Caenorhabditis elegans: one gene and its partner. The protein of the gene in region 2 purifies or fractionates together with the protein of the main gene of each other region. This does not show direct contact. Each region holds a gene or a part of one and is shown on either strand. Other genes may lie near its edges.

The links.
Region 1: the proteins of dnj-17 (region 2) and znf-622 fractionate together in Caenorhabditis elegans (co-fractionation; one large-scale study listed by BioGRID). This does not show direct contact.

The regions. Positions count from the first base shown.
Region 1 is NC_003281.10:6,379,663-6,383,690, reverse strand, and holds znf-622 (C2H2-type domain-containing protein), read right to left. Parts: upstream 2,058-4,028; 5' UTR 2,046-2,057; coding exon 1,863-2,045; intron 1,807-1,862; coding exon 993-1,806; intron 921-992; coding exon 790-920; 3' UTR 695-789; downstream 1-694. Other genes in the region: let-716 (rRNA biogenesis protein RRP5), read right to left, coding at 20-139; C16A3.5 (NADH dehydrogenase [ubiquinone] 1 beta subcomplex subunit 9), read right to left, coding at 2,298-2,738, 2,850-2,900; C16A3.6 (Protein MAK16 homolog), read right to left, coding at 3,157-3,616, 3,666-3,788, 3,841-4,028.
Region 2 is NC_003281.10:13,390,039-13,395,124, reverse strand, and holds dnj-17 (DnaJ homolog subfamily C member 21), read left to right. Parts: upstream 1-1,785; 5' UTR 1,786-1,789; coding exon 1,790-2,101; intron 2,102-2,145; coding exon 2,146-2,439; intron 2,440-2,493; coding exon 2,494-2,624; intron 2,625-2,671; coding exon 2,672-2,842; intron 2,843-3,594; coding exon 3,595-3,902; intron 3,903-3,958; coding exon 3,959-4,200; 3' UTR 4,201-4,275; downstream 4,276-5,086. Other genes in the region: qdpr-1 (Dihydropteridine reductase), read right to left, coding at 275-404, 459-727, 780-903, 961-1,064, 1,123-1,206; T03F6.3 (Glucosamine-6-phosphate deaminase), read right to left, coding at 4,412-4,714.

The DNA of each region.
Region 1 (4,028 bases), 7.0 Mb from region 2:
AAGAGAGATAATAACAAACCTTTAGCCCTCCTTTCGTTCCTACAAAGTCCGAGTTGGATTTGTTCAATGGTTTTGGCTTGTCCGAACCACCACCACGCGGGAAGCACTTTTCGTTTGTTACCTCATCTAGTTTAACCATCTGAAACAAAATATTCATCACCCCGGAAGAGATATTACGAGTAAATAAAATATCGACAATTTTTTGAAAACAAAAACATGGCATTTTCTTTTTTTTTTTCGGGGAAAAATTAATGAGAAAATGGAAAATAAAATTGTAAAAAAATTCTCGGAAGATAAAAGTGTGCAATCACCGCGACGGACTATTGCGGACTCGCATACCGTAGCCAATCAAAAGAAGAAGAAATGTTTTCGAAAAATAAATATTTAGAAGGCGAGAGCGAAAATGTATAGTTCTATTTTTTAATTGCTTAACAAAAGCGACGTATTTAGCAAAAAATGTTCAGAATACGCCAAGAAAAAGCTAAATTCTAAATAGGGAAGATTTCGTTGTATGATGAATAAAGTTGAAGATTACCGTAGTAAATGTGTTCGTTGTGAGACCTGCGCTCGTAATAACTTGGTCCTCCCTTTGAAGAAAATTTTGGTCAAAACACTTGATCTAATTAGAATTGTGTTGAATTTGAAAACCAGATCATTACCAAATCCCTCTTTGGTATATCGAAGCGAATTATTTCAGATGGATATTCATTGAAAAATGTCAACATAACGGGGGTAACGGCAAAAACAACAAGGTTAGCAAACAGGAACAGAAAAATTGGAATGAAGTGGTCAATGATTGTCTCCGACGAATCCGTTTGTCTTGAACAACTTGTTCGACTTGACTGCCACACGCAGATCGAAACGACGACGGAAACGCTCAACGAACTTCATGTCTCGAGCAACCTTCTTGGCCGCGACAGCTGAAATATTATTTTTGTTACATTTCTTTTTATTTCTACTATTTGATGTCATAGAATTCTAATAAAACTTACTCGTAGTTCCAGTCCAAGCGAGAGCTGGATAGAATCCCTTTGCTTTATCGAGTGCTGCTCTTGAAACAAGTCTCTGTGTACCATCAACTGGGCGAAGGTATTGTTTGAAATATCGATGAAGGTTACGGTGTCCAATTTTAGCTCCAGAAGGGAGAGTAAGCGACCATCCATCATCAAACAGTTCTGACTTATCTTGATCATCTCCATCATACATCGGACTGTAATCATAGTAGTCGTCGAGCTCAATCATGCTTTCAGGATCTCTGCGGAGTTTGCAGTGCTGCTTATCTCGCATGTGCTGCTGACAACTCTGAACTGATTCGTATCTGGCTTTAACGTCTGGGCAGAAGATACAGCAACGACCAGCTCCAACTTTAAGTCCCAAGTAGCTTAAGCATCCAAGTTCATCGCTCAAGTATTGCCTGTCTGGAAGTTGGAATCCATGATGGAAGTTCATATGAGTACGCATTTCATCCATATTAGGCTTTGTCTGTGGACAAAACAGACAAGATGTGACTGGAAGAGCATCATCCTCATTTAGTTCCTCCACACCTTCCTCCTCATCGTCAGTTTCCCATCCACTCGAGTCATCATCTTCATCATTTTCAGGTTCCTTTAGTGACTCAGGTTTCTTTGGCAAATTCTCTGGCTTCTTTCTTGGTTGCTTTGGACCTTTCTTCACATCATCCTCAATCTTCTTCTCATTTTCCTTGTGCTTTTTGCTAGCTACGTGATCAGTCATTGCATTCTCCGATTTGATTGATTTCCGACAAGCCTTGCAGTACAATGGTTCAACTGAAGCAGCAACGACTGGCTGAAAAATTGATAATGAGTAAGTATTAAGCGAACATTAGAAAACTTTTCCCCTACCTTTGTTGGGTTGAACGATGCAGCTTTCTCATTGAAAAGCTCAATTCCTATAGCTGGAAGCTCAGCAGCTTGTCTTTTCAGATTGTACCGATGCCATTCGGTTTTGTAATGATCTCTCTGCAGCTCGGCTGTCTCGAAGACGACACGGCATGTTACACATGTGAACCCTGTAGATCCATCCATTCTGATAGATCTCTGTAATAAAATGTTTAATTTAAAGCTTACAAGAAGAAATTTAAATAAATTGGAAAAAATATGCAAATGGTCAGCAATAACCATTTAAACAGATGAATAATAAATGATAATATACAATGAAAATACAGCTATATTTATTTGTTCAGTGACGTTAAATTCATAAAAAACAAAACAAAATTATTCGGTCTACGAGTGAGCTCGTTCTACTTAAAATCAATCGCATTACTTCCTCATAGTGGCCTATTTGGAAACAGTTGGGGCAGCAGCTGGTAGTTGGGTTTGAATTGACGCGATCTCCTCATCCCAAGCTTTTTCGATTTTGGCCCAGTGAGTCAGCAACTCCTTCTTTCTCTGCTCACGAGTATTGAAGTAGTAGGGGAACTGTTCACGTTCAGCCAATGTCCATTGATCCGAATCGACAATCTCATCCGGCGACTCGCGTTCACGATCATAACTGGAACCTCCTGGATCGAGAGCAAAACGGAAAGGCTTGAAATGACGTTTCTCCCACAATTGACGGCATCCGTCGGCAAGAAGGATCTGGCTCTTACGGGTGTCAACCTCATCAGCGTTAGCGTCGAATCGAGCACGGATAATACACTTTTGGAAGCGAACTTCCAGATTGTTTCCTCCATACCAGTTGTCAACTTCGCGAAGACAGCGTTTGTAGAGGCGGGTGACCTGAAAATGCAATAATTCGCTACATTTTAAACAGACGAAATCTCCAATCAGATTAAAAAACAACGCTACCAATTTCACAAACGACTAAAGCTTTTCAAAAATAAAAATTACCTTCTGTCTATGGCTCAGCGCCTTCGTGAACATCCACGCCGGCGAATCCATGGCTTCCTCCCGGTCTTCTCTGAAAACAATGGGTTTTATAGAGTACAAAAATATGTGATTGGAACAATAAAATAAAATTGGAAAAAAAACCAATCAGTTTAATTTTTAGTAAACAAGGAAAAGTAACAATTTTCATTTGAATTTTTGGGTAAAAGAGTTAAAAATTAAAAAGCAAATAACAACAACACAATTGGAAGAGGGCGAATAAAAGAAAAGAACAAAAATAACGATAACAGACAAAATGGAATGCGAAGTTTTATGCCTTGACCCTTTGTCGTGGCTCCGTTTCTTCTTCGTATTCAATCTCAACATGAGCTCGTTTCTTGAGCTTCTTCTTCTTTCCATCAGCAGCTTTCTTCCCAGTCTTTTTCTTCGGCTCCTTCTTTACCTTCTTCTTTGGTGGCTCCTCAATTTCCATTGGCTCATCACCTCCTTCCTCATCATCTTCATCCGAATCCTCTTGTTCTTGTTCTGGCTGCCAATTATCCTCGTTCTCACTGTCAGTATCTCCTGGTGACCAATGTCCATCACCTCCGTCTTCCATGTCCTGATCCTCATCGTCGGAACTATCAAAGTCAGCGACGAACTGAGTCTCACCCGTGTCTGCGTCGTCCTGCTCGAGTTCTTGCTCCACTTCCAACTCTTTTTCAGTGTTTTCCAGCATTTGTTCGAATGCCTCTTGACGGAAGTTGTAAACATCGCCATATGTTCCTTGTCTAAAAGTTGTTTCATTCAAAATGTGCACTTTCTAATATATCAACTCACTTAAGTCTGGCTAAGAGCTCTTTCTCAATAGCGTGATCAAGTTTAGCTGCAACAAGTGCCTTCTCTTCACGACGTTTCTCACGTCTTTCCACTTTCCGTCCAATTGGAATGAGTTTCTTCTGGCTGAAAATAAATAATACTATGCAAAATTCAGTTTCTATAAGTTTAAACTTACTTTCCACGGACTGCCATTTTACGCATTCTGATCAAATATTGATGAATTCGGATGAGACGAGCTTTGCACTTGTGTCTAACATATTCACTCCAATGAAGAAGTTGATCACTGATTTGTTCCAATGCTTTGTTCATATCCTTTGACAACTTTGTCTTTTCCCATAAACGACGTGGATAGTGAGATCGTTC
Region 2 (5,086 bases):
ACTGTAATTTTGTAACATTTTGTTGCCGTAGAATTTTCTATAAATTTAAAGAAAATAGGGAACTAAAAAAAAACCATAAGAAATTGTCGCGTCGAGACCGGTACCGTATTTTCAGCAGAAAAATTGCAATATTTCGCATCTAGATAATAAAACATTTTTACTTAAAAACATCACAAGCTTTATGGACAAATGATTTAGAAATTGATAGCATACTACATGGAAAAATAACAGATAATAAGCGGAATGTAAAAAAGGCTGAAAAATGTCGGTAAAATTATTGTGGAGTGATAGTCGATGTTCCATTTTCAGTGGTTATTTTGAGGAGAGCCCCGGAAGATGGACGGCTCGATGTTTCTGTGGTCCATTTGAGAAGATGTTCAGAGATGAATGAGAGTGGAGTCCAGCTGAAAAAAAAACATAGAAAACTATGCAAAAGAAAAAGAGTAATTTAATTTTACCTTGAATGATCAGCATTTGGCATCCATTTTCTGTTCATTGGGGTGTCCAAAGTGACTGGCATAATTGTCAAAACGGCCGAATTGTCAGGCAATCCCGAATCTTTGGCAGCCAATGAAGATGTCAGATGATGAACTGCAGCTTTTGCCATACCATATCCAATCATTGATGGAGTTGGTCCCATAGCAGCAGCAGCTCCTGTAAGCTGAAGAAGACCTCCCGGCTTGAGGTGAGTGGTGGCCAATTTGGCTGCAATTGCTGAACTCCAGACCTGAAAATTCACGGTAGAATAATACCAGATGTTTAGGATTAATATATGTTACCGATTGTTTGATCATTAAATCAGCATTTTTCACAAAATCTTTTGAAGAAGCGGAGCCTCCAGCCCATCCACCGGCAACACAGAAAACTCCATCAACCTGACTTCCCTGGAGAGATGAAGCAGTTCTGCAAATATTTTATGAGGTTACGGTAGCTTTTTTTTAAATTAAAAATACAACTTACTGCTCGAGAATGGATTGTTCTTGTTCTGTCCAATTTTTATTTCCGTCCACCAAAATATTACTGTCAGCTTGGTCATTGGCACTCAAGTCGATGTTTAGAACAGTCTGAAAATTAATGAAAATTAATTTACAACATCCTAATTCAATTTCTTTTAAAACTTACATAACCATTTTTCTTGAAGAATTCAAGAATAGCAGATCCAAGTGCGCCTTTGCCTCCGTATACGATAACTTTTCCACTGGACATTGTTCGAAACTGCAAGGAAAAAGTAAAGAATGACAATATGGAGGTTGAAGGACAAATTGGCCGCGTGGACGACGTCAAGGACGATTTTAATGTGATACTGGTATCAACGAGTGATCAGAGACACAGATTTTTAATGTTAAATGAGGGAAAACTTGATGGAATTCAGGAAAATAAAGATGAAACAACATTTTGGAAATCGGTTTCCGAGCTTGAACTCGAAACGAACTTTTGTTATCGAGAGTTTTATCAGTTATATTTTTGCAAGAAATTTGGCAGACATATCAATCGATAGCTCTTATTTAGCTCAACAACATTTAATATGAATCACAACAGGAAAATGTGAATTAGCTTCTCAGAATTCGTCAAAACATCGTGGGAAAAAATATAGGAAATTATTTTTTTACAATTGCGCTCTAATGTAGATGGCGAGACATCGTGTGGAAAGGAGAGACGATAGATAACTTTTTCTTTTCATTTAATTCTTTTTCTTGTTTCTATTATTATTTAAATGGTTTCGCATGAACTATTCATTTCAATTTATAAAATAAAATCATATTTAGAGTAAATTTTAAATATTTCAGCTATGAAATGCCATTACGAAGTGCTCGAAGTTGAACGCGACGCTGATGACGATAAAATCAAAAAGAACTACAGAAAACTAGCGCTCAAATGGCATCCCGACAAAAATCCGGATCGCATCGAAGAGTGTACTCAGCAATTTAGGCTTCTTCAAGCTGCGTACGACGTTTTGAGTGATCCACGAGAACGCGAATTTTACGATAGACATAGAGAAAGTATTCTGAAGGGAAAAAATACGGATTTCGAGGAACAATCCACGGATTTGTTCCCCTATTTCACCGCTTCTTGCTATCAAGGATATGAAAACGATAAAAATGTGAGAATGAAATCTAAAAAGTAAATCAAAATTATAAATTACAGGGCTTCTTCACTGTCTACCGGAAAGTCTTCAATATCCTAGTTTCTGAGGAATATGATGCGTACAACGATTCAACAATAGTCTATCCAGAGTTTGGCGACAAGGATACCGATTTGGAGCAAACTGTGAATGGTTTCTACGGTTTTTGGAGCTCTTTTTCGACAACTCGCTCTTTTGCCTGGCTGGATCATTATGATATCACACAGGCTTCAAATCGATTCGAATCACGGCAAATCGATCAGGAAAATAAGAAGTTTAGGGATGTCGGAAAGCAGGAAAGGAACGAGCAAATTAGGGTATGATTGTCCGGAATATTTAATTTTAAATTTAAATTTAACAAAATTTTTCAGAATCTGGTCGCTTTTGTTCGAAAACGTGATCCACGTGTCAAAGCATATAGGGAAATTTTGGAGCAAAAAAAATTGGAAGCACATAAGAAACAAGCTGATAATCGAAAAAAGCAGATCGCCAAAAATCAAGAGTAAGTTCCGAAATTGTGAAAAATAAGGAAAAAATTGAATTTTTCAGGCTAGCCAACTCATATCTGAACGACAAAGAAGCCGAGGCAGCCCGTCTTGCTCATTTGATTGAAGTTAGTCTACAAATGGCCGAGGATTACGATACTTGTAGTGATGAATGTGATGAAGAAGGAGAAGAACTTCCATATTGTGTTGTTTGTAGCAAATCGTTCAAAACTGTGTAAGCAGAATATTATAAAGACGCAGAAAAATGCCATTTTTGAAATGGAGATGCAAGTACGCTTCACGGAAAAATTAAATCGCTCCGCCTCCAAAGTTGGGTCTTGTTAGGCATTGGCTGCAAAACCTTAATTTCAAACGATTTTTGTTTAAAAAAAAGCTTAAAAAATGCACAATAATCGAAACATTGAGAATTGAAAAACGAAAATTATAGATTTATCGGAACTCCTTTAAAAAATTTTTTTTTGATCTTTTAAAATCGAAAAATCTAAATAAAACGTTTAAAAAATGAAAAAAAAGAAGAAAAATTGAAAAATTTGAGGTCATTTTTCTAAAAATCAAATTTTTTGAAATATTGAAAAAATTTTTAAAAAAACATCGAGAATTTTTTTTTCGAATTGGAATGAACCAAAACTAAAAAAAAATCGATATGTAATTTTCCGATATAAAAAAAAAGAAAAAAGACTAATTTTTCTTATCAAAATATACAAAACTTTATAAAAAAGTTGAAATTGTGTGTCAATTTTCTGAAAAATAATTTTTTTGATTTTTTGATTATTTTAGAAAAAAATGAAAATCCTTGAAGAAAAGTGAGAGACAAAAAATACGAAAAAATATTGAAAACGTTTAAAATTATGGATTTACCGCCACTACCTAACGAGACCCAACTTTTGTCCGTGGAGCGCGCTTGCACCTCAATTTCAAAAGTCTGATTATATTCATCTCTATAATATTCTTCAAACTTAATTTCAGAAACGCCAAGTTGAATCATGAGAACTCGAAGCAACACATCCGTCAGCTGAATGAGCTGAAAAAGCATATGAAAGAAGAAGATTCCACGATTTTCACCGAAGCAGAACCGAAACCCGACGAAACACCGAAAGGAAAGAAGAATAAGAGAAAGGATAGGAAAAAGGGGAATGGAATATTTGATGTGGAAGAAACAGAAGCAGTAGAAGCCGAGATTCAGGAAGCGCCGCCCGTGGAAAATGAGCAGCCGGAGGAAGAGGAAAAGGAATGTACCCCGGAAGTTGTTAAGAAAGAGAAAAAGAAGAGAAGAGGTACATTTTGTAGAATTGCAAAATCTTTAAAACAAAAACAAAAATTTTGTTTTCAGCTGATAAAAATCAAAACCCATCGGCGACAGTAGAGGAAGAAGCACCGAAGTCAACTGAACCAAAATCTGCAATTTGTGATAAATGCCGTGAGGTATTCGATAGCCGGACCAGGTTATTTGCTCATTTACAAGAAACCGGACACGCCACGTTGCTCATCAACAAACCAGGAGAAAAAGGACAGAAGAAGGCGAAAAATAAGAAGGGACAACGTGGAAATAAGGGGGATGATGAGGATTGGTGAAACATTTTTTTTTTGGTATTTATTCTTGTTCTAATTGTTTTGTTTGTGAAAGTTTAATAAATATTTTTCAAAATTCAATTTTATTGAAATGTTTCGGGAAGAATAATGGGCAAATAATGAGTACCAAAATGTTCAATATTTAGTATTCAAAGTTACAGTGAAAGTTACAGTGAAAATTAGTGGAAGGGTACATGAAAAAAAGTAATACAGATTAAAACATGACAAGTGAACGATGATGATTCATTAATCCTTTGAAATATTTGACCGTCTTCACTTTCAACTCCAACGTGGCATCTTCGTCGGCAATAAACGTTGCACATCGATGCATCTGCATCGCAGAGACCGTACACATGTGAGAGATTCCGCATTCGATTGCCTGATGAAGAGCCAGCGCTTTGTGTGATCCTGTGATGAGAATCATCACTTCACGAGCATCCATTACAGTCTGGACGCCGACTGTCAGAGCTTGTGTTGGCACTTTTGTGATGTCTCCACCGAAGAAACGAGCGTTAGCCTGGAATTATTATTTTACTCCTGATTCCAAATATCTATGTGCACACGCGGTTCTGGCTCATTTTGACTCGGCCAAGGCCGGGGTTTAGTTGCAACGCTAAATGTATTTGTCCGTGTGGAGTACACGACTTTCCAGCAGGCAATTGTCAATGTAGCGCGAAAAATTCAATTATTTTAAGACGACTTTCAAACGCGCGTCAGAAACATTCTCATTGGAGCGCGCTGTGACATGTCAATTTACGAGATGATTGACGTTTTCCAACAAATTTCGTTCAATTTCGTCGGATTATTGTTGTCAATGGAACATTTTTTCCGACAAAACTGAAGAAAAATCGTAAATCGACACAACACGGCGCGCTCCATTGAGAATTTT